3 linked regions of the Drosophila melanogaster genome follow. Changing the gene in region 3 together with the main gene of any one other region gives a genetic interaction. Each region holds a gene or a part of one and is shown on either strand. Other genes may lie near its edges.

What was found.
Region 1: of CCT4 (region 3) and CycE, changing one suppresses a phenotype caused by changing the other (phenotypic suppression), as found in Drosophila melanogaster (one study listed by BioGRID).
Region 2: of CCT4 (region 3) and Rheb, changing one enhances a phenotype caused by changing the other (phenotypic enhancement), as found in Drosophila melanogaster (one study listed by BioGRID).

What each region holds. Positions count from the first base shown.
Region 1 is NT_033779.5:15,741,859-15,748,594, forward strand, and holds the start of CycE (cyclin E), read right to left. Parts: upstream 4,753-6,736; 5' UTR 4,626-4,752; coding exon 4,597-4,625; exon of another isoform or gene 4,399-4,596; intron 3,786-4,398; exon of another isoform or gene 3,534-3,785; intron 1-3,533. UniProt on the Drosophila melanogaster protein: Essential for the control of the cell cycle at the G1/S (start) transition. Targeted by archipelago for degradation by the SFC ubiquitin ligase complex.
Region 2 is NT_033777.3:5,566,990-5,572,743, forward strand, and holds Rheb (Ras homolog enriched in brain), read left to right. Parts: upstream 1-1,931; 5' UTR 1,932-2,050; exon of another isoform or gene 2,051-2,216; 5' UTR 2,217-2,233; coding exon 2,234-2,282; intron 2,283-2,410; coding exon 2,411-2,482; intron 2,483-2,585; coding exon 2,586-2,793; intron 2,794-2,852; coding exon 2,853-2,982; intron 2,983-3,038; coding exon 3,039-3,128; 3' UTR 3,129-3,502; downstream 3,503-5,754. Other genes in the region: CG12746 (uncharacterized protein), read left to right, coding at 1-371; CG2931 (uncharacterized protein), read right to left, coding at 624-1,532. UniProt on the Drosophila melanogaster protein: Binds GTP and exhibits intrinsic GTPase activity. Activates the protein kinase activity of TORC1, and thereby plays a role in the regulation of apoptosis. Stimulates the phosphorylation of S6K through activation of TORC1 signaling.
Region 3 is NT_033779.5:12,686,332-12,694,686, reverse strand, and holds CCT4 (chaperonin containing TCP1 subunit 4), read left to right. Parts: upstream 1-1,752; 5' UTR 1,753-1,864; coding exon 1,865-1,970; intron 1,971-2,469; coding exon 2,470-3,122; intron 3,123-3,184; coding exon 3,185-3,324; intron 3,325-3,383; coding exon 3,384-4,068; intron 4,069-4,131; coding exon 4,132-4,149; 3' UTR 4,150-4,351; downstream 4,352-8,355. Other genes in the region: IFT43 (intraflagellar transport 43), read left to right, coding at 1-113, 170-193, 261-383, 439-700; CG6153 (uncharacterized protein), read right to left, coding at 843-967, 1,031-1,221, 1,285-1,604.

The DNA of each region.
Region 1 (6,736 bases), 3.1 Mb from region 3:
AGTGGCAGCTGTTGAAGATCCTACCCCAACTAAAAGGATTCTGGCAATGTCTCTGCTGTTGCTTTTGTAACTTCAATTGACTTCCCCCTCGCTAATTGTATCCTGTCGCGTTTCCTTTTCCCCTAGCCCTACCCCTCCCTCCCCTCCTCGCTTCCTTTCTTCCTTCATTTATTTTCCTTTTTCCGTGTGACATATGGGCCTGGCGTTATATTCGCCACGATTTATGGACCTCCCTTCGGCCTACCATTCAGTTCGACACCTTTTTTTCCTACCCCATATGCGAATGCTTTTTAGCCAACGACTTTCTTTCCCCTACTTTCTTGTTCTTACGCAACGGATTGTCTATTTTCCTCACTTTTTGCCTCGCTTTTCTTTTGCGTTTTCCGGCCTTTTCTCATGCACAATATTTTGCTGTTTCCAACCATCATTTTCACACTAATTGCGGATATGCCTTCTAATTAATTGGGTTCCCTCTGCTTCCCCGAAGTCCTTTTAGAGCATTTTTGCTTTCTTAGTTTTCAACCCCCTAACTATTCTACTTACAACAAAGAAATTTCCTTACACAGAAAAATAAGTCTCTTTGGTCATTTAAGAATATGTTAAAAATCTTAAAACAATTAATAAGATCATCATTTAAATCGTAATCCCAATATAAAGATCTGGGTTTTGTAAATATTCGAGCTCAAAAAACATTATGAAACAATTTGTATCTTTAAGATACAGCAGAAACCTAAAAACGCAATAGAATAGACATTTATCTCTCAGTTGTAATCATGTTACACATCTAACATCATTTATAGTCGGATTAATGTAATCTTTTTTGTAAATCACAAAACGTCCTAAAATTAATATTCGTTAATAAGGATGCGATAATATCCTTTAGTTTTACAAAACAGTTGACAGCGGCTCTTGGCAAACAAATGACTGTATTATCGCTAGAGCAATCCAATTCTTGTCCAAATACCAGTGACTAAGATAGATTCCTACCTAATTGCAGGAACTGCCCACACGCAGGCTGCGGCTGCAACTTCCTCTAATGAAGATTAAGTGAAGAAGGCTGCGAGTTCGGGCGAAATCCGCGGCGACAGGTATACAAATATGAATAATGCCGCGGATCGAGCGGATAAACTCGGGGGTTTCCTTTGCGCACAGCGCCTAATTAAAGGTGTACGATGCATGAGTGAATCTGTTTACCTGGACGGGGTCCTTCAAGGTCATTTAACTGGAAAACCGAGTGTCGAAAATAAAGTCGACCGTATTTTTTTCCCTCATCTTCGGAATATTTGCTTTGTGCGGAAGATTTCCCACAAGGAAATGGGACCAAGTCTCGAGATACAATATGAAATGCAACTTGAGGCAATGCAAAGAAGAATGCGCAAAATGCGCAAAGAAGAGCGCAAAAAAAATTATATACAAATATGTATGTATCTCGAGTATATGCCAGACTATATACATATGTACATATGTAGAGGGAAAACAGGTCTCGAGTTATCCGGCGTCTTCAACTGTCTGGGCCTGCAATTTTTGTGCGTCCTTTTTGGGCTGCATTTTGGGCTCCTCTGCACATGCGGCGAGATACATTCCTGAGATACTCGAGATAAAAATGCACATGCATCTGGGCATTTGTGGCGTTGTCCATGCCAATGCCGCCTCCTCTCCATTGTTGTGGTTTGGCCACCACTCTTGCAATTAGTTGGAACTCGGTGGACCGAAAGTCTGCAGGAGTTGTGTAACAACATAGCTACATAATGCTGATAGGGTAAGAGGGTGAAGTTCATTAGGAAGATATTTTCTCAAATCGAAAGCCTAATCATATTTGCATAATATGAAACTATAAATAATACTACTAAAAGTTTAAACCAATACACGAAGATTGCTTTATAAGCATCATTGAATTGAACCCGATCTTTGATGCTTCCTTTTCATACTCATGAATGCGTTTAAATTCTAATGGTCAATTGGCCCAAGTTTGCTGTGTTGCTTCAGTCGCATATGCCCACCCTACCCAGAACTACAGGGTACTGCAAACGAGAACAGGAAAGTCGATCCTCGCCTGCGCGCATCAGTGTATCTGTGAGTCCGAGTATCTGAGTATCTGTGTGCCGGGTATCTAAAGAGCGCCGCCTGGGCAAAACGGCGTGTGAAAGTAAAGTCGGCCCAGCCGATGGAGGAGAACAAATCAAAGTTCTTGAATGGAGCGGCAGCGGCGGCGATGGCGACGGCGGCGTTCCAGTTCCAAGAATCGATGGCCTTGAAGTAGCCGTTAGGACATCGGGACGCGCTCAATTGACTATTTAGTTTATATTTAGCAGCGTCTAAAAGGATGCCCACAGCGAGTCAGCTAGCTCAAGTGGCCTGCGTCCTGTCTCTTCCCCGCTCCACAAATCGCCAGTCGGACGGACTATCCTTTGTTTGTCTGGGAATAACTGGAAACTGTTTATCATTGTTGTTTCTGCTCCTCATACATACGGCTTCACCTCATTCCGATTCCGAATCGGATTCTTCTGCCGCAGCGACAAAAATGTGTATGGACTATAAAAAAAAAATGCCCACATATACATACATATGTACATATGAACCATTTATTTAAGGAGTTACTATTCACAACTCATCCTTTTGGAGAACATGTAATATTTGTAAAACATTCCGCACTTGTAATTGAGAAATATTGTTGGTATTTTACTAGGAATTCGGGTTAATATGGCCAGTTGATATGTGTGGATTCCTATAACCATTTACGTATGTATGTACATATGATGAGAAAATATTCGAGATCAGTTTGGGTTCCCATCTCGTCTAGAAAATCCTTTGATGACATACCGCTTTCGAAGGTGGCAAGCACTTGGAGGATCATGAGCAGAATTGAAAGGTGTTGACTAGGATTTGAATAGATCATATAAGGAGTGTTTAGGTGGGTCAAACAAAAGAAAATGTTGGGAAAATATACAAAATTCACGACACTGAATCATCAAAAACTTGATGCTCTTACTTTTTTCAAAATCACTTCTAAGAAAAACAATTTATTTCCCCATGGTTTAAACTGGCCAAATCTAAACATAAGCGGCTGATTTTCGGCACGATCATGACATAATCGAAAAATTAAGTATACAAAAATCCACCCCATCAACAATACACCACCCACCCCCCACGCACACCCCCGCCGCGATCGCTCCAAAAGTTTAACGGCGCAAAAAGCGAACACGCAAACTAAAAAACGTCAAAAGAATGCAAAAAATAAAGAAGAAAGCAAAAATTGCGAAGAAAACAACAACAAAATGAATGTGGCAGGTAAATGGAAGCAGAGGAGAAGAGGAAAGAACGAAGATGGCGCGAAGCAAGGTGGAGACGAAGGGGAAGCGAAAGCAAAACGCCGAGAAATATCAATGAACTCCATTCTCCACTTGGCAGTCTATCTCGCTCACTCATTGGTTGGGAGCACGTACATAGAGTAACTACTCACAAAAATAAATATAACCACGATTTTACAATAATTAAAATACTATTATTAATTCTACATATGTAAACATACATACATATGTATGTACGTAGATTGTGGGTAAGGGCTAAATGCCACTACCAATCTTTTTCTTCGTGTACCAAAGATATTTGCGCCACTTTTGACATAATTCATTATTTTGTTCTTCACTCGTTTACTCCATTTTGCTTTGAACCTCTGCTTCGTGTTCGTCAAGTTTTCGAAAGGTCCGTCGACTGATCGGCGATTTTCCGAATTTTTTCGACGTCGCAGTCAAATGCTCTCTTTTTTTCCGTTTTAGAGCGCAGTACTAAAACGTTTTTGTTTGTTGTTGGTGTTGGGAAGGGGAAAATAACTTGACTCGCTGTTCTGATTGGAATAAAACGGAAGAGAGCGAGAGAAAGAGAGCTTACTCTCTCTCTTAGCGAGCGCATTTCTTCCAAGTTTGTGCTTGTGTGTGTGTCATTGGAGGAAGCGTATAAAAATGAAATGAGCATGGGAAAAGAATGGAGAAACGCAAAGTGGCGCGAATTAGGCGTTTGGGCTGGGGCAGTTTTGTTTTACCGCCCAAAATCTATGCGAATGGCGGGAAAAAGTGCAATTCGGGCGGGAGAAAGATTAGAAAGTTGGCCCAAACAGCAGGGTAAACCATAAGCTGCATCTCAAGCCTTCTATAGTAAGAAAAGCTGTAATAGTTCACTGAACTCCCGTTACGCATTAGAAACTCAGTGCACTTTTAGACGTGATTAGAAGCTTTCATTTATTTCATAGGATTTTCCAATTTGTTCCCATTGGATAACGGTTTAATTCTAATAGGACACTTTTCCTTATAGGGGGAACACTAAAACACTGTGTGGGGGAGACAATTTGTAGTTGGACACCCCGTCTCTTGCCAATCAGAAAGCAACGGTTAAATCCTACAGCGTGTCAATTTTCTTATAAGAGGATGTTGTATTTGTAGCAAAAAATGCAAAGACACGACGGCAAACGCAGCATTCTCTCCCGCTCTTTCCTTCACTGTTCCACACACACTTGTCACCGCACACGCGTCATAAATTTTATTCCACTCTGAATAACGTATTGCCTTTTATCCACTAAAACCATTGTGCAATTGGTTTTACCTTCTAGTAAGCGGAAAAATGCTTAACATAATATCCCCGGTGTTTTCACTTGTTTTTCTTAAAGGGAATTGAACAACGTTTTTCGAGAGTTTTTCGTCGTCGTCGTCGCCGGCCACGAAAAAACTTCACGAGCAGCGGAGCGGCGGCAGCAAAGTGATCGCTTTGGAACCGAAAAAAAAATTGGTGGAACTGGGTATCAAAAGCAGCGACGTCGACTGCGGCGAGTGTGCATGAGGAACGCGCCAAAACAGGCGGATCCGAAGCGCCAAAAAATGCAACAAACACAGGGGGCAACTTTGTTGTACTCTAGGGGAGGGACGGAGATGGGGCGAGCATCTCCAGCGCAAAGAACAGAGCGTGAGAAAGCGAGACGGGGCGATGAAGCCGCTGGTGGCAAGCTTGGCATTTTATTGAATGGAGTCTGCAATTGGAGTCCCCAGTCCCCAACAGGCTAGTCAGACTACAATTGGAGGTTCGACGTCCAGTCAGCTGGGTGGTCGAAAAACAGCTGACGAGGATGCCAGAAGGGCGGATTTAGTCGGATATATCGTGGTTATATATAAATACCTAAGATTTATTTCTATGTCATATGCCAATTTTAATTCAAATATGACCTTCAGAAAATAAATATTTAAATTTTAATATGAAACTATTTTTTTTAATATATTTTTAAAGCGCTCCAAAATCAATTCAAGGTTAAAATAAATTTATCTTGAAGGGTATTCATAAATCTTTAAAATTTTAATTATTTATTTATTCTTCAGAAGCCTGAAATTACATGGTTTAATATGCTTTTCTAGTAGTTTTTATGAACTGCAGCCAAATAACATATGACAAGATGACTGAGGTCGAACTAGGTGGTAACGCTGCTTTGAAACCAAACAAACCACTGCCACTTTGTTGTTTTCATCGATTAACATTCGAGCATTTTTGGCACCAACTTCGAGCGCTTATAAATCAGGTAAGCTAAATGAAAAACCATGCGTGCCTATAACCAATTGAAAGATCAAAACTCGCAGAATCTGATTTTTCACTAAAATCGAAAATCCCGTTCAATTCGGCCAAATTAGAATCGATTGAACTTGATGATTTCCCGCGCGCGGGAACCCGACGTCGGCGCGCGCTGCTGACAGCGATGACAGCTGCGCGCGCAAAGAGAAGGCGCGGAAGAGAGCGCGAGAGGGGCAGGGGAACAGAGAGAGAAAGAGGCAAAAACGTCGACGTCGCTGCTCACGTTTTTTTTCCATTACTTTTCGACTGCTACAATATCGATGGAGAAAACGGGGTCTAAAGGAAATGGCTTAAAAAGCAAGTTCACGAACTTTTGAACCCTGCACCTGCTGCAAATCGAATGGGCCAATTGGCCGGCATCACTCACCTGCTGTTGGGCAGGATTCGGGCAAATTCTCAGCGGGATTGCACACTGAAAAACACACGCGGACTGGAATGGTGATGAAAAAAATTGCACACACCGCCGCACACATACACACGCACGCCAGCCAGCAAGACAGTATAGCCTCCTTTTTGTCACCTTTTTCGACAGATTTATCGTGGTTCTGCGGTCTTTTTCACGGCTAGCTCAACCCCACGGCAGTCAAGGCCAATTCGATGCGATCCCCGCGATTTTTCAGCGACTCCAAAGTAACACAATGATCGCAAGTGGCACTGTGACGAGATCGAAATCGAGAGAGCGATGAAAGAGCAAAAAAAAAGGCCATAATCATCTGGCCACACGGCGCAAAGAGAGAGTCGGAGTTTAGTGGCAGCGGCGTTGCCACTACGGCCGATCGCGTTGCGGGATTTTTATTGGCGCGTTATTCAAATTTTGAAAAATAACTTCTATGTTAGCCTGACTTTTACTGCTCTGCATATTTAGTTCACTATTTTTCCGGGCTGATCATATCTGGAAATCGGGTATTTAAAATAATAAAAGATGTGCAACGTGCTTAATGTTAAATGGGGTTTTAGAAAAGAAATTGTATTATATAAATTTTGCTTTGATTGTTCGATTAACGGATATTAAATAATTGGATTTTCCGTTGGGAGCGTAATTTGAAACGCATATTTGATACGCTTATATTGTTTTTGTTTTATTGTTATATTCTTGTTTTTATCATGCGACTATCTAGTAATTAAATTC
Region 2 (5,754 bases), on a different chromosome or scaffold from region 3:
AGCTGCACGCCTTTGATAGCCGGGGACGCGGCCACACCTGGCGGCTCTGCATCGCTGTGATACCTCTGTTTATCGCACTGCTGGTTGCAGTTAGTCGCACCTGCGACTACCACCACCACTGGCAGGATGTGACCATCGGCGGGCTGATTGGCCTGTTTGCAGGCTATATAAGCTACACACAATACTATCCCTCCATCTTCTGCCCTGATGCCGGCATACCACTGGTCAGGTGGCCCAGCAGAGAGGGAAGCCAGTACCAGCGACTGTCTGGAAAGGACGACAATGGCAGTCGTGGTCCCCACCATCTCGATGGTGGGGATGCGGTGCGGAGACCTCTGCTCGCTGACAAGGAGGAGTCCAAATGGTACTAAAAGCTTTACGTAATATTATTGTGAGTGTTGCTTTCCCGTTTAAGGTTTTTAAACATATTAGACAATTTCTGATTTAAAAATGTGCTGCTGGTTTACCTCGTAATAGGATGGGTAGGGTTTGTTAATAAAAACTAAGCGCGTCAATTGCTAAACGTAAATTTATTGCTCATCTTTAGCAGCAACATCCAAATCTAATTTGCTACATCAAAGTGACCGAAACTAGCCTAAAGGACACGATATGCACACTCAGATTCAAGTCATGGAATTGAAGGCCTGCAGAAGCACCTGTTTTTCGCGCTCCTTTTTCTTAACTACGTCAAGACTGCGTTGTCGCCACGTGCTCTTGCGCAGTTTGATAGGCCGGCTGCCCACATAGCGGCCGTCCATCTCCTTCATGGCCCGTATAAAGTCGGCCGGTTCTCTGAAGCTCACGAAGCCAAATCCCTTGCTCTTGCCCGTGCGCTTGTCCCGCACCACACGGGCCCGCTGAAACGAGGGGAACTTGTTGAAGGTCCGGGTCAGGACCTCGTCGTTGACGTCGTTTCCCAAGTCACCACAAAAGATGCGGAAGTCATCGTCGGGCCAGTCAGCCAGCGAAGTATCCTCCCACACGGTGCCGCCAGCGATACGCACCGTCTTGCGGTCTTTCTTTTTCCGCTCTGTTGTCTGGAAGGATTGCAGCGCCGATGATGCGCGCGCTGCCTTAATGGCCTCCTCTGCAATGGGATTGGGTCCAGACTTTTCCGCCTTGAGCTTCTTCAGCTTCTGCGTTACGTCAAAAGAGACGGCGTTGATGTCGATGGAGGGCGCGGCGGCCACGGTGGGCACGTGCACAGACTGCCGGCACTGATAAAGTTTGGGGGCGCTGCTCAGGACTACGGGAGTGGCAGACATAGCCTTGGAAGAACCACCTCCACTGCCCGTAGGCACGAAGGTGGACATAAACGTGGGTGGAGGCGGCATCGGGGGCGGGGGTACGGTCAGACGCGATCCTCCATTGCCCTGGTGATGCTGCAGCTTGTGCTGCGAGTTTTGGTACGTATTGGCGGCTATGATCGGGCGCACCTGGTTGGGCACGAAGAGATTGCGGGCGGGGGGCTTCGAGATCTCCGCCTCGAAGCGTGAGAGCTCATCCTCGATGTTGCGACGCTTTGTACCCATTTGAAGTGGGGTTTTCTCTTTTAAAAAATCAAATCAAAGCAAGTTTTTACGAAAGTGCTGCAGAAAACTCGGAGTACTAAACAAATATCGATTTCGTTCCCAATCGATTGCACTATTTTTATTTTAAAGGCCTGTTTAGACATGTCCACAGAATCAGGCTCTATTTGCAATATATAACAAATAAAACAGTTATTTTAATATCATAAAACGAAGACATTTAATATGTTTTAACTATTTAAGAAAATAACTGCGACTTTTTACACTTGATTACGACAAGCACCTTTCCGAACGGGCCTTGATATTTTCTGCAATTGTTGACCGTTAAACTAGTAGACGATAGTGTAGTGTGACGGTTCCTCATTAGCTGGCAAATGCCTTATGTTAGTAGGCTAGGAGTGGTATTTCGGCTTCGTCGACACCAGCACTGATTCAACTTCAGAATTACTGTTTTCTTTTAGACGATCTGATAAATAATACTGGAATTAAAATCGCCGGAAAAGCTCTAGCTGTGATAGAAAGTATCCTCAGCAAGCAAAATAAACGCAGAAGCAATATTCCTCATACACACATTTAAAGAAGGAGCACGGGCATACCCACACAAGCGCACAAAAAGTCGAGGGGCGACAGCAAAAACAAAAGTGTGGAAAATCACAAAACCAATAAATTTCTCCATTTATTTCAAAGCACTGGGCCCCAGGAAAATGCCAACCAAGGAGCGCCACATAGCCATGATGGGCTACCGATCAGTGGGTGAGTTTTCCCAGAAAGTTCCGCCAGAAGCACTGACACTGTTGCTGCTGGCACTGGTAATTGCGTAGTATTTCGACAACAGCAAGAACTATGATCAATTGACCATAATAATTACGCTTCGCCCGCAGGCAAATCGTCGCTATGCATACAGTTCGTGGAGGGCCAGTTCGTGGACTCCTATGACCCCACCATTGAGAACAGTAAGTGTCACATCCCATTCCGTGCGGATTTCTTAGAAGCCAGGCTGACTCCATGCTTCGATAGCAGTAGCAATGCGTAATGATCGGTAATTCCCATTCGCAGCCTTCACCAAGATCGAGCGTGTAAAGTCGCAAGACTACATCGTAAAGCTCATCGACACGGCGGGCCAGGACGAGTACAGCATATTCCCGGTGCAGTACAGCATGGATTACCACGGCTACGTCCTGGTGTACTCGATAACCAGCCAAAAGTCTTTTGAGGTGGTGAAGATCATATACGAAAAACTGCTCGACGTAATGGGCAAGAAATAGTAGGCTTCTTCCCCGTGGGTTCCGCTTGAGAGCTAAGCTAATCTTTTTTGCCTTTCAGTGTACCTGTGGTGTTGGTCGGCAACAAGATCGATCTCCACCAGGAACGAACCGTTTCCACGGAGGAAGGCAAGAAGCTGGCCGAGTCCTGGCGAGCTGCATTTCTCGAAACGTCCGCCAAACAGAACGAGGCAAGTACCAAGACGAATCACACTAGCTGAATGCAACTAAGGTACTTCCTTCGCAGTCCGTGGGAGATATATTCCATCAGCTACTGATCCTCATCGAAAACGAGAACGGCAATCCCCAGGAGAAGAGCGGTTGTCTTGTATCGTAGGGCGGCTGAGTAGCTAAAACTACGGCCGAACTGTTGGAAATACGGCAAATCGCTATGGCAATACGAAAATCGATTATCTCTTATCTACACAGTTGGGTCAGCGTGCATGGCGGGGCCGTACCCTTTGTGCGCAGCAGGAAAATCTAAAAATCTAATAGACCTAGTATTCTTAAGACCACACAGCAAGTAACCAATATCAAGCGATCTGAATGCGTCCGCTAAACGCTGCCCAGCAGGTTTTGTGGTTCGCGTCTGGCGCAACACAACAGGTTTAAGTTAGTACGTTTTTTTTACAACAACAATTCAGTTACAAATTTCATATACAAATTCTGCAAACTTTTAGTTTCAATTTAAATATAATTTTTCAAAATACTATTCAAGATTGTATTTTAATGGTCAACATTTTCGATTGTGAAAAATATAGAGGTTGATTTACTAAAGTTACAAGTGCGTCGAGAAGACCTGCCAGTTGCAATTCCAAAAAGCTGGATTTACTTTATCTCGTCCCTATAACTGATTAAATAGGACCAATACCTTAATGATTTCTATAGATTCCCAACCGTTGTGAATTCTCTGGAGACCAAGGTTCAGCAAGTAAAAGAACTGGGAGGATCTCGGTATGGTTCTTAATAAGAGTAATTTCAAACCAAATTACTATTTGGATAAACTGAAAGACTCACCTGGCCACTCTAGCAATATCTGCATCTGTTAGCAAAAAAAGGGGTCTTTAAATTTTAATACCGCTATTTCTTATGTCACAATTGGTCGGACGAATTTGATTGAATTAAGATTTGGCTGGCTTAATATTTCTAAAGACTGATTATAGAAAAAAGACATAGAAATTATTTCGCATTAAACCGATTATGAATAAAAATATTTCTTGTCTTACTTATCTTAAATCTAAAATGCCGGCTAACAGAGCGTTGCGCGGACTAACAGTGCTGTTAACTGTCAGCTGCCATAACCCACCACGAAAATAGCAAATCCACCACAACGCGAGTTCCAATCGGACCGAGAGTTAAATGTTTTCCGATTTTCAAACAGCGAACTTGTGCGTGCGTTAAAATTAAACTCGTTCAGCATTTAAATCGTGTGAGATCTTTGCCTTTTAACGGTAATTTACCAAAGCGAGCGATTCGTATTAAATGTGAATGTTCCCCATGCAGAAGAAAGCGAGCTTGTTTTTCTTCTCTATTTTCTGTATTGCAATTGTTTTTTTGGCTGACTTTGGCTGGGTCTGTGTGTGTATACTTGTGCGCAATGCGTGGGTATTTTCTCAGTTTTTTGTTCTATTTTCAAATTTTATTGCTCTCGCATAATGGTATACATATGTACATCATTATGTTTGACCGTTATTTCGAATCTCCAACACCGCGAGTTTTTTGTGACGGCATTTCCCACTCACGATTTGTAAGCAATCTCTATACATTTGTATGTACATATGTATGTGGATAGGCATGTTTGTACAACTGCACTTACAACCCGCTAATCAGGTGCAATGCACATACATTCATCGATTCCGACTCGGAATCCCAATCGGAATCCGAATGGGTGGGTACTGGCTTTTCTTGTTGCTTCCTTTACGGGCCACAGCCTTTTATCGATTTAATAACAAACGAACGTCAGCGAGTCGTTGGACTCTGCAAAAACCGGCACTCGCACTTGGCGGCGATGTCTGGCCAGGATTAGAGATGGGAGCTTTCAGATGGCAACGGAATAGATGTTATTGACGTACTTACCAAAGCTTACATATGTATGTGCAGATATGTTTGATTTCCAGGTTCATTTAGCTGACTGGCGATAAGTGTTGCACGCGTATCAATATTCATACCCCCTGGTGGTGGTGGTGGATCTACAGAACCAGGCTATGCCCATCTGGGGGATGGGCCCATGGCTGATAAGATATGTCGCGATTTTATAGCGCCCATAAAAGCCGCAGCAAGCCCACAAAACAAGTGAAACCTGCCGATTGTGCTATCAGGGGATTAAACTCACAAAATGAAAAATCAGTCCATACTACATTGTAAATATCGTTGAAGCTCTTATTTGCAAATTAAAACACATTACTCCTTGGCTTTAAAGACACAATCTAAATGGAGTAACAAATTGAAATTATACTTATGTATTTTCCTTACCAACAACTCGCTAGTTTGATGACCTTAACTGACCGCAATTAATAGTATTTTTATTTATCATCAAGCTGGCCTGGGAGTCCCGTTAGAGTGCTTAATTGGCACAGCAAGTGCCAGTGAGGCAACTGCATTTTTCAAATTAAAGAGAACTAGCGACCCACAAAATTCGTACAGCGAATGAGCTTAGCACATTTTCCCCGCATTAATGCGGCTGCATTAATTGCATTATGTACCTGCGAGCCCACTTGTGTGCATTATGTATGTTTAAACACACTCCTTCCGCGTATTTACATATATGTGTGTACATACATACGTATGCATGTAGCCATGCTAAAAGATAGTCTAGATCTAGATCAGTGCAGCCAAGCAGATGGGGTTTTTGTGCTCGGATGTGCGCCGCCAAAAGGGGAAAGTGCTCACTTATCCAATCCCACTGCCGAGCTACCAGTCGCAATTGAACTAATGAAATGTAGCCATCCTCCAACACGTCATGC
Region 3 (8,355 bases):
ACCACCTCGGACACGGCCACCTCGTCCACATACAACAATGAATTCGAGTCACATCGACCACCCATTCGTCGCATTTCAGGTGGCTGGGCGGATTCTGGACTCAAAGGATTAAAGTGGGTATGATTAGGCTCGAATTAGGCACATTACTGATTGCTCTATATCTTTTTAGGTCCAAGAAAAACTCCTTTGATGAGTGAGTACAAGTTTATCACAATAACTTCACTTTCCACCGACTGTTATAATGATAAAATTCATTTTAGTGAGCGCTTTAAACAAACAAAGTCGGCTACAAATTCCATACCAACGGATGACATTCCCGTCATCCCAGACATGGATGATGTCAAGGACGAAATCATGCTCAATGAGATTGTAGAACCGCCAACGTAAGCAGAAGCTGCTATATTTCTCTTCACTACGATAATAAGTTGTAATTTGTAGTATTGGCACCTCACGATCTGCTGTTTTGAAGGAGGCCAATTCCGATTTGCTTTCCCAGTACGCCTTTTCAGCTGTGGATGGCTTTGATCTCTCAATCCTCACCGATTGCCTGGTTCCACAGGAGAGCCTCAACGAGAAGGACGATCTCTGGCAGTGGGACAAGCTGTTCACCGAGGTCACGGCTGAAATCCATTCGGATAAAGTGCCCAATATGGGCATGAAAATAGGACCCGATGTGATTCCACCCACACAATATACTTAGTATGATTTAGCCCACAATATCTGTGCAATACAAATGCTCAATAAGTTAAGCGAATACAAAAACATTTCTTGCCTTAAATGATCACAAAATATATACACTACAGAGATACTCAATTAAATTGTAAATTTTAATCTCTATAACCCTATTGGATGGCTCTGCCGACTCCATCGAAAGCCTTTTCCTTGTGATCCGCTGCATTGGCACGGGATTCGTAGTTGCATATGGTTACGCCATGGTAATGAGCTTCTGTGAACTCTCCTCGAAGACCTTTGAATAGTGACTTGGTTTTAGTTGGGAACACAGATAAAACATAGATTGTTGTGAGCTTACCTATATAGTAAATGCGTGTTATGTCTTCGCCAAAATTGCTGGGAAAGTAGAGGGAGAGATGGTGCACGGAGGAGAAGGTGACCACTTTGGGTGAGTACTCGATTTCTCCGCGGGCATCGCGGGTCAGCTGGAACTCCTGGTCGGGCTTTGCTCTGGCATCATCAAAGGTCATCCTGGGTCGGTTCTTGAAGCTGAAAAATAAGATATATGATGAATATAGTAATATTAAAGCAGCCTTGACTTTTGTTCCTTACATTTTGACCATGTTTGGATGGGAGTCATCATTGGCCCCACTTATGATGATGCCCTTGAGCTTGATGTTGCCGGTGAAGGGAATGTTGAAGAGGAGCTCTTCATCCGCATCGCTCTCCACGTACTTGGACAGATCCTGGCGCTTCTCGTACGGCTTAAAGACACTTTTTCCCTGGCCATCCGTCTCCTCGTTCAGGCACTCCACATTGTCCAGATCGATTTTGGTGTACAAGCTGTACTCGATGCCCATTTCTAGGGCGTGGTCCACGTCCGAGGCCTCGTGGCTGCAGCCGCCGTGATCGTGAGAGTGTCCGTGCGGCATTATTTTTATTTTAAATTCAAAAATCGAACAAAAATTCAATGTAAATAAAGCAGCCGAGTCACAACGCAAAATACGGTCACACCAATTTGCCATTCACAAGGGATGATGTTATCGATGCCGATAAGTTGGCGGTATATTTGAGCTCAGCGAGTGCGGCCACACTTTCCTTAACATTTCGCAGCAACGTGTTCTGTGTAAATCGCTGTGAATTTATTGTAGAATAACTGTGTTTTGTTAAAAAACTATAACTTAACCCTACAATGGCGCCCAAGGCAGCAGCTGTCAACATCAAGCCAACGGCCAAGGCCTTCAAGGACAAGTCGAAGCCCACCGATGTGCGTTTGTCCAACATCCAGGCGGCCAAAGGTGAGAAAAAGCGAGGAAATTAACAAAATTAAACACATTTTTGTATCAAAATGTTGGCGTATGTGCTATTTATTGAGCTAAGAACCGAGGTGACTGAATTCCGAGCAGTGGTGCATCAGAATTTCCGGCCAAATGGCCTATTGAAAAAGCAGTTGGATGCCGGCTGTCTGGAAACTTCTTGGGCGGAAGAAGAAGAAGAGCGCGCATTACTCATGTGATGAATTGAAACAACCTAAAAATTGAGGATTTTTAATACTCTATTCCCAATACCCTTTTATCCGCTACAAGGATTTTATTGTTTATCTCTTAAGATAAGTTACAGTAGATTTTTTGAATTAACACATAAAACACCATATGTCTTTTTGTATGTATGTATGTAAATTAGTCATGCTGCTGTGTAAAACTAACCACACGAATTCCACTTATCTGAGTTTCTCATTAAGTTTTAACGAAATATTAAAATACATTTATAACCTATTGAAATAATTCTGTTTTCCAGCCGTTTCCGATGCTATCCGCACCAGTTTGGGCCCCCGCGGCATGGACAAGATGATCCAGGCCGGCAACGGCGAGGTGTCCATCACCAACGATGGCGCCACCATCCTGAAGCAGATGAATGTACTGCACCCGGCTGCCAAGATGCTGGTGGAGCTGTCGCGTGCCCAGGATGTGGCCGCTGGTGACGGCACCACCTCCGTGGTTGTCATTGCCGGAGCTCTGCTTGAGGCGTGCGAGAAGTTGCTGCAGAAGGGTCTGCATCCCACGGCCATTTCGGACTCGTTCCAGCGCTGCTCGAACAAGGCCGTCGAGATTCTTAAACAGATGTCCACTCCCATCGAGCTGGACGACCGCGAGACGCTGATCAAGAGCGCCTCCACCTCGTTGAACTCCAAGGTGGTGTCGCAGCAGAGCAGCCTGCTGGCCCCCATTGCCGTGGATGCCGTGCTGAAGGTTACGGATCCCGGCAAGGAAACCTCTGTGGATCTCAAGAACATCAAGGTCATCTCCAGCCTGGGTGGCACTGTTGAGGACACCGAGCTGGTCGATGGATTGGTCTTCACCTGCCGCTCTGCCGGATCCAACGCTCCCAAGCGCATTGAGAAGGCCAAGATCGGTCTTATCCAGTTCTGCATTTCGGCCCCCAAGACCGATGTGAGTACATCGCTATGATCCTAACAATTTATTGTCTTTTATAATTTATGCCGAAATTACAGATGGATCACAATGTGATTGTATCGGATTACGCTGCCATGGATCGTGTGCTCAAGGAGGAGCGTTCATACATCCTGAACATTGTCAAGCAGATCAAGAAGTCAGGATGCAATGTTCTTCTCGTTCAGAAGTCTATCTTGCGGTAGGTTTAGCTTACTTGTTATTTGTCCACTTTGTGCTGATAGTTCTCCACTTATCTAGCGATGCTGTCTCTGATCTGGCTCAGCATTTCCTGGACAAGATCAAGTGCATGGTCGTTAAGGATGTGGAGCGCGAGGATATTGAGTTCGTGTGCAAGACCCTGCACTGCCGACCGATCGCTTCGCTGGATCACTTCACAGCCGAGAACCTTTCCAGTGCCGATCTGGTCGAGGAGGTGGCCAGTGGTACCAACAAGTTTGTGAAGATCACCGGCATTCAGAACATGGGACGCACTGTCTCGATCATCTGCCGCGGATCCAACAAGCTGGTGCTCGAGGAGGCTGCTCGCTCCCTGCACGATGCCCTCTGTGTCGTCCGTTGCCTGGTGAAGCTGCGCGCCCAGATTGTCGGCGGTGGTGCGCCCGAGATTGAGATGGCCCTGCAGCTAGCCGCATTGGCACAAACCGTGGAGGGTGTGGATGCGTATTGCTTCCGTGCATTTGCCGATGCTTTGGAGGTGATTCCCTCCACTCTGGCTGAGAACGCCGGTTTGAATCCCATTGCCACGGTCACGGAGCTACGCAACCGCCACGCTCAGGGTGAGAAGAACGCCGGTATTAATGTGCGCAAGGGCGCCATCACAGACATTTTCGCGGAGAACGTTGTGCAGCCGCTGCTGGTCAGTATTTCGTCGATCACCCTGGCCACGGAGACGATTCGATCGATCTTGAAGATCGACGATATTGTAAGTGTTATACAAATGAATGAAATGATTTAAATTTAAATGAATGTTTTTATTTATTCACAGGTCAACACCTTCAGTTAAGCAGTGTAATCCGCATTCTTCGGTCGTCTGCCTCTGATCAAGATCAATCTTCACGCAAATTCATCTAAAGTCTCACATCTTATGTCCATTATGCGGTTGCGCATTAAATTTTGAATAAAATTCACATATACACTACGCCTCACCAGCTTAACATGTATTTAAAAAATAAAACTATATGATTAAATACTTCGCTAACACAACCTACATGAAAACTTGAATTTAATTACTGATATGTGCTCTTGTTCTGAGGTTAAATAGTTCTATAAAATTAGTTAATCACAAATTGGAGTAAGGAAAAATGTTTAGGAAGTTCGTACTCATTATATAAAGACTTATATATTCCTTAAGATTAAAAGCTAATACCTTTTGCGGTTAAGCTTATTTGTAATACATATATATTTCCTTCTTAAATGGAATTTCTAAGATTTCATTACAGCGTAAAAGTCTATCAACTAACCGAAACCTTATCTAGTGAGCGAGTTCATTTTTCTTGTTCTTAGCCAACGCCTTGGGTTTCAAAGGGATGGCTCACCCCCAACCATTTCGCACCCCCGCCCCAATCATTGTATTCCGTTTAGGTTTTGGGGATCCTTTTTGTCCTGGGCGTGTAAATAAAAATCACTTGATGCGATTTTTATGATGTGCGTTAAATGATTAAACCACTTGAACTGGTTTCAAATTGTCAAAAAGGGAAGACTTAGGGGTTGGGTTGCGAAAGGGTCTTTATCCTTTTGTTTTCTTAGCCCCATTTTGGAAGTTCATGCGGGTGGGGTTTTCGCTTGGGTGTGATTAGACGGGGACTATCTAACGTGTCCGGAAACTTTCGGCGCGTGTAAGTTAATTAAATGTGTAAACATGTCAAAAGGGATCGAGTTCACCAGCCCACTATCTTCCACCACCCATCTAGGTGATGGCCAAGATGGTGTTGATTTCGGATCACGCCACTGATTGGCTTTGATTTTTTTTTTTAGCCCGTCCAATAAAAGCTATTCCGCTAATTGGCTGCTGAAAAGTTTTAGGGGTTGGTTTTCTATCACTTTTCCGGGAGACGCATGCAAATTTTCCATTTTAAAGTTTATTTGCGCAGCAGCCATTGATTTGGGTTTCCATTTTGACTTGCAGGGGGTGGAAAAGTCAGTGCTCGCTTTTCAGATGAGCATATTCTACATACATTTTTGATAATATGAGATCATTTTCTTTAAACTTAATTTTGTAATCAACATTTTTGAAAATCTCATTAAATAGAAAATACATGTTTTCTTAAGTATTTCAAGTACCAATCTTAAGCTTGCATTTTATCCACCTAAGAAAATGAAGTGTATCAACTCATTCGACTTGAGCAGCACCCCTCTTAGTTATTTATTTTATTTTCGCTACTTTTATATTTTTTAGCTATTTGCTCGACTGTCTTGGGGCATTGTCGTTCACGTCCTCGTTCCCATTTGTTTTTTGAGCAAATATTGAATTTGCGCTTTTTTCCCGAGCTATTTGCTCGCAGAGCCAGTGGCCCACACTTTTGAAACTTTTTATTTCGGGCACTTTTCCTTTGTTTCGCCTGTTTGCTTAATTTTTGTGTGCGATTTTCTTCATCTGCTTTTTGCTCATTTCATATTTTCATTGTAATTCAATTGTGTTTTCCCCGCGTTTGCTGCTGTTGTTTTTTTTTACCCAAATGTTTGCACAAGTCTTATGTTCTCCAGTCGGGCGAAAAGGGCGCAAAGGGGTGTGTATGTCCTGTATGTCCTGTGTGTCCTTGTTACATTTCTTTTTGCCAAACGAATTGAAATTCAAAGCAACGAATTGTCAGCCAGTCACGCAGAAATTTAACATATGCTCGCCATATAATTTGCGAGCACTTTCAACCGAAATTACCAGTGTCTGTCATATCTTAGATCTCGAGTATCTGGCAGATAGAATAGGAACAAAGGATGCTAAAAGATATAAAATGAATCAAATATATAAAGAAATAGTTTGCTAAGTGCAATAGCGTATTTATCGGTCTAAGAATTATGTTAATCTATCTTCCATAATTTGTACCTATTCTTATCATTTGTATCTCGTGTTACTTATTCATAAAACGAAAAAACTTTTTCTGTTTAAAAAAAATAGTTTTTCTTATGTCCTTAGACTTCAAGTATTTATTTAATGGTCCAAACATTTAACAGCTCAGTTTAGCGAAATACTTCCATCTAGTTCATGCCACTCAAGGAGGCAAGACCGAAATGCTTATCAAGAATAGAAATGCTGAAGCAAAAGCATAAAGGAAACTTAATTTTCGTTAGTCCTGCCAAGTGGCGAGTGATTAATGATGTCAGGACGACGACAATATTATGAAAACGCATTCGAAAATTTCATTAAATTGTTATAAATGAATCGGGCGAAACAGGAATGAAACATATTCCGGCGAGAAAATTCAATTTGCAAATGCAGCAAATATTTCAACGTTCGTTGAAAGGAAAGGAAATCAAATCGATCAAATGAAAGCCAAATGAAATCTCGACCGGACGATCTGAAACCACCGGGGTAATCCCCCCGAAATAATAGCCCACGGGGCTTATCAACCCACTTGGACCAGTTCAGGCTTAGGGCACTTTGAATATGACCAATGCAATTGAAGTTTCCCCCCATTGAAAACCGAAATTGCGTCCGCTGCCATTCTTCTTTACATTTTGGCCATGTGGAATGGACGGACGTCGTCTGCACTGGACTGATAACATTCAAAGAGTCCCAAGCCCCCGAGCTGCCCAAAATTCGAGTGCCCGCCAATTAAGTGTGAGTGCTGGAATCGATGGGCTTTTCCTTTTGGCCTCCGTTTGATGTGTGCTAGAGTGTGTGTGTGTGTGTGTGGGCGAATGGCCTGCAAATTAAATGGGGTAAGGATTCTGGTCGAGATTTCACCTCTGGCCAGATTAAAAATTTATTCGCAACTCTGGCCAGCTGCAGGCAAGTAAAAGTTTTAAATAAATATGTGTTGCCTCAAAGTGAAATACATAAATTAAAATTAAAGTAGCCTCTAAAAATCAAAATGCAAAAGGATATGTGTCTATTCAGATTGATTTTAAACCAGGCATATGTAGGTATAAATGTCTATATTTATTCAGGATATTTTGAAGCTTTCCTTAAATGCATAGAAAATATTACTCAATAATATTTATCCAGCTTAAAAAAATGCTAAAAAACCAGTGCTAAGCACATGTGTCCTTTCCACTCCTTTTCACAATCATTTACCTAATTTATTGGCACACTTCCATTAAGATATCTCCATCGAGGACTTGACTCGCTTAAGCGATTTCCAAAGGATACAACTGGGACAACATAAAATACTTCCACTGCCCACATCGTAGTCCAAAAAAAAAAAAACAGCAAACAACACAGGAGCTATATCCATACTACCCATACTACAAGACCAAAATCAACCACCGAGGCGAGGAGCATATGACATAACCATGTGTGAATTGATGGCATGAACCCTTTGCCAACTTCCCCAACTCTATCATTTTTTTAGAGATTCGTGCCCTAAACGAATCAGAGCCCGGCAAACTTTTGGCAGCAGGGGGAAAATCCGGGCCGAGGGATCGGAGTTGGGGGTTGGTAAAAAAAGGATTTACACGCTTGCCTCGATATACAAATAAGGGTTCTGTCTGCGCTGCCATATTGACTGTCGCCGGGCCCAAAAAGATGAAGTGATTTCTTATCCAACAAATCCACACTCGACAACCAAAGCAACCAAAAAAATAAAAAAAAAAGGGGTTGCTGGTTTGGGTCCTTCCTTCGCATCCTTTTGCTGTTTTGGCCCGCGTTTGCCAGGAAGTTTATTAAAAAATGGTCTTGTTTGCCTTTGTCGCGTGGCTGGCAAACGCTTTTGGGGCGGGCCAAGGAAATCAGTTAACTAAATACCTCGTTCAATATTTATTTAGGCTCTGCCTAATGAGATTCGAGTGCGTTTTTATATGGCACACGCTGGAGTAAACCTAAAGAGCTGGCTAATTGAATAATAAGCTAGGGCTTTTCAAAAACATACAGCTGGTAAATATGGGTGGCAAATTAAATGAAACTCCTTTCTTTAGTGCATTGAATAAGATAAATAAAAATAAAATAAATGTTTTTAAAAAATAATATAGAAATGGAATGGAACTAAGCAGAAGATTCTAATATATAGACCGCATATCTTGAACTGCATCTATCTTTGATTACAGTTTCCACCCA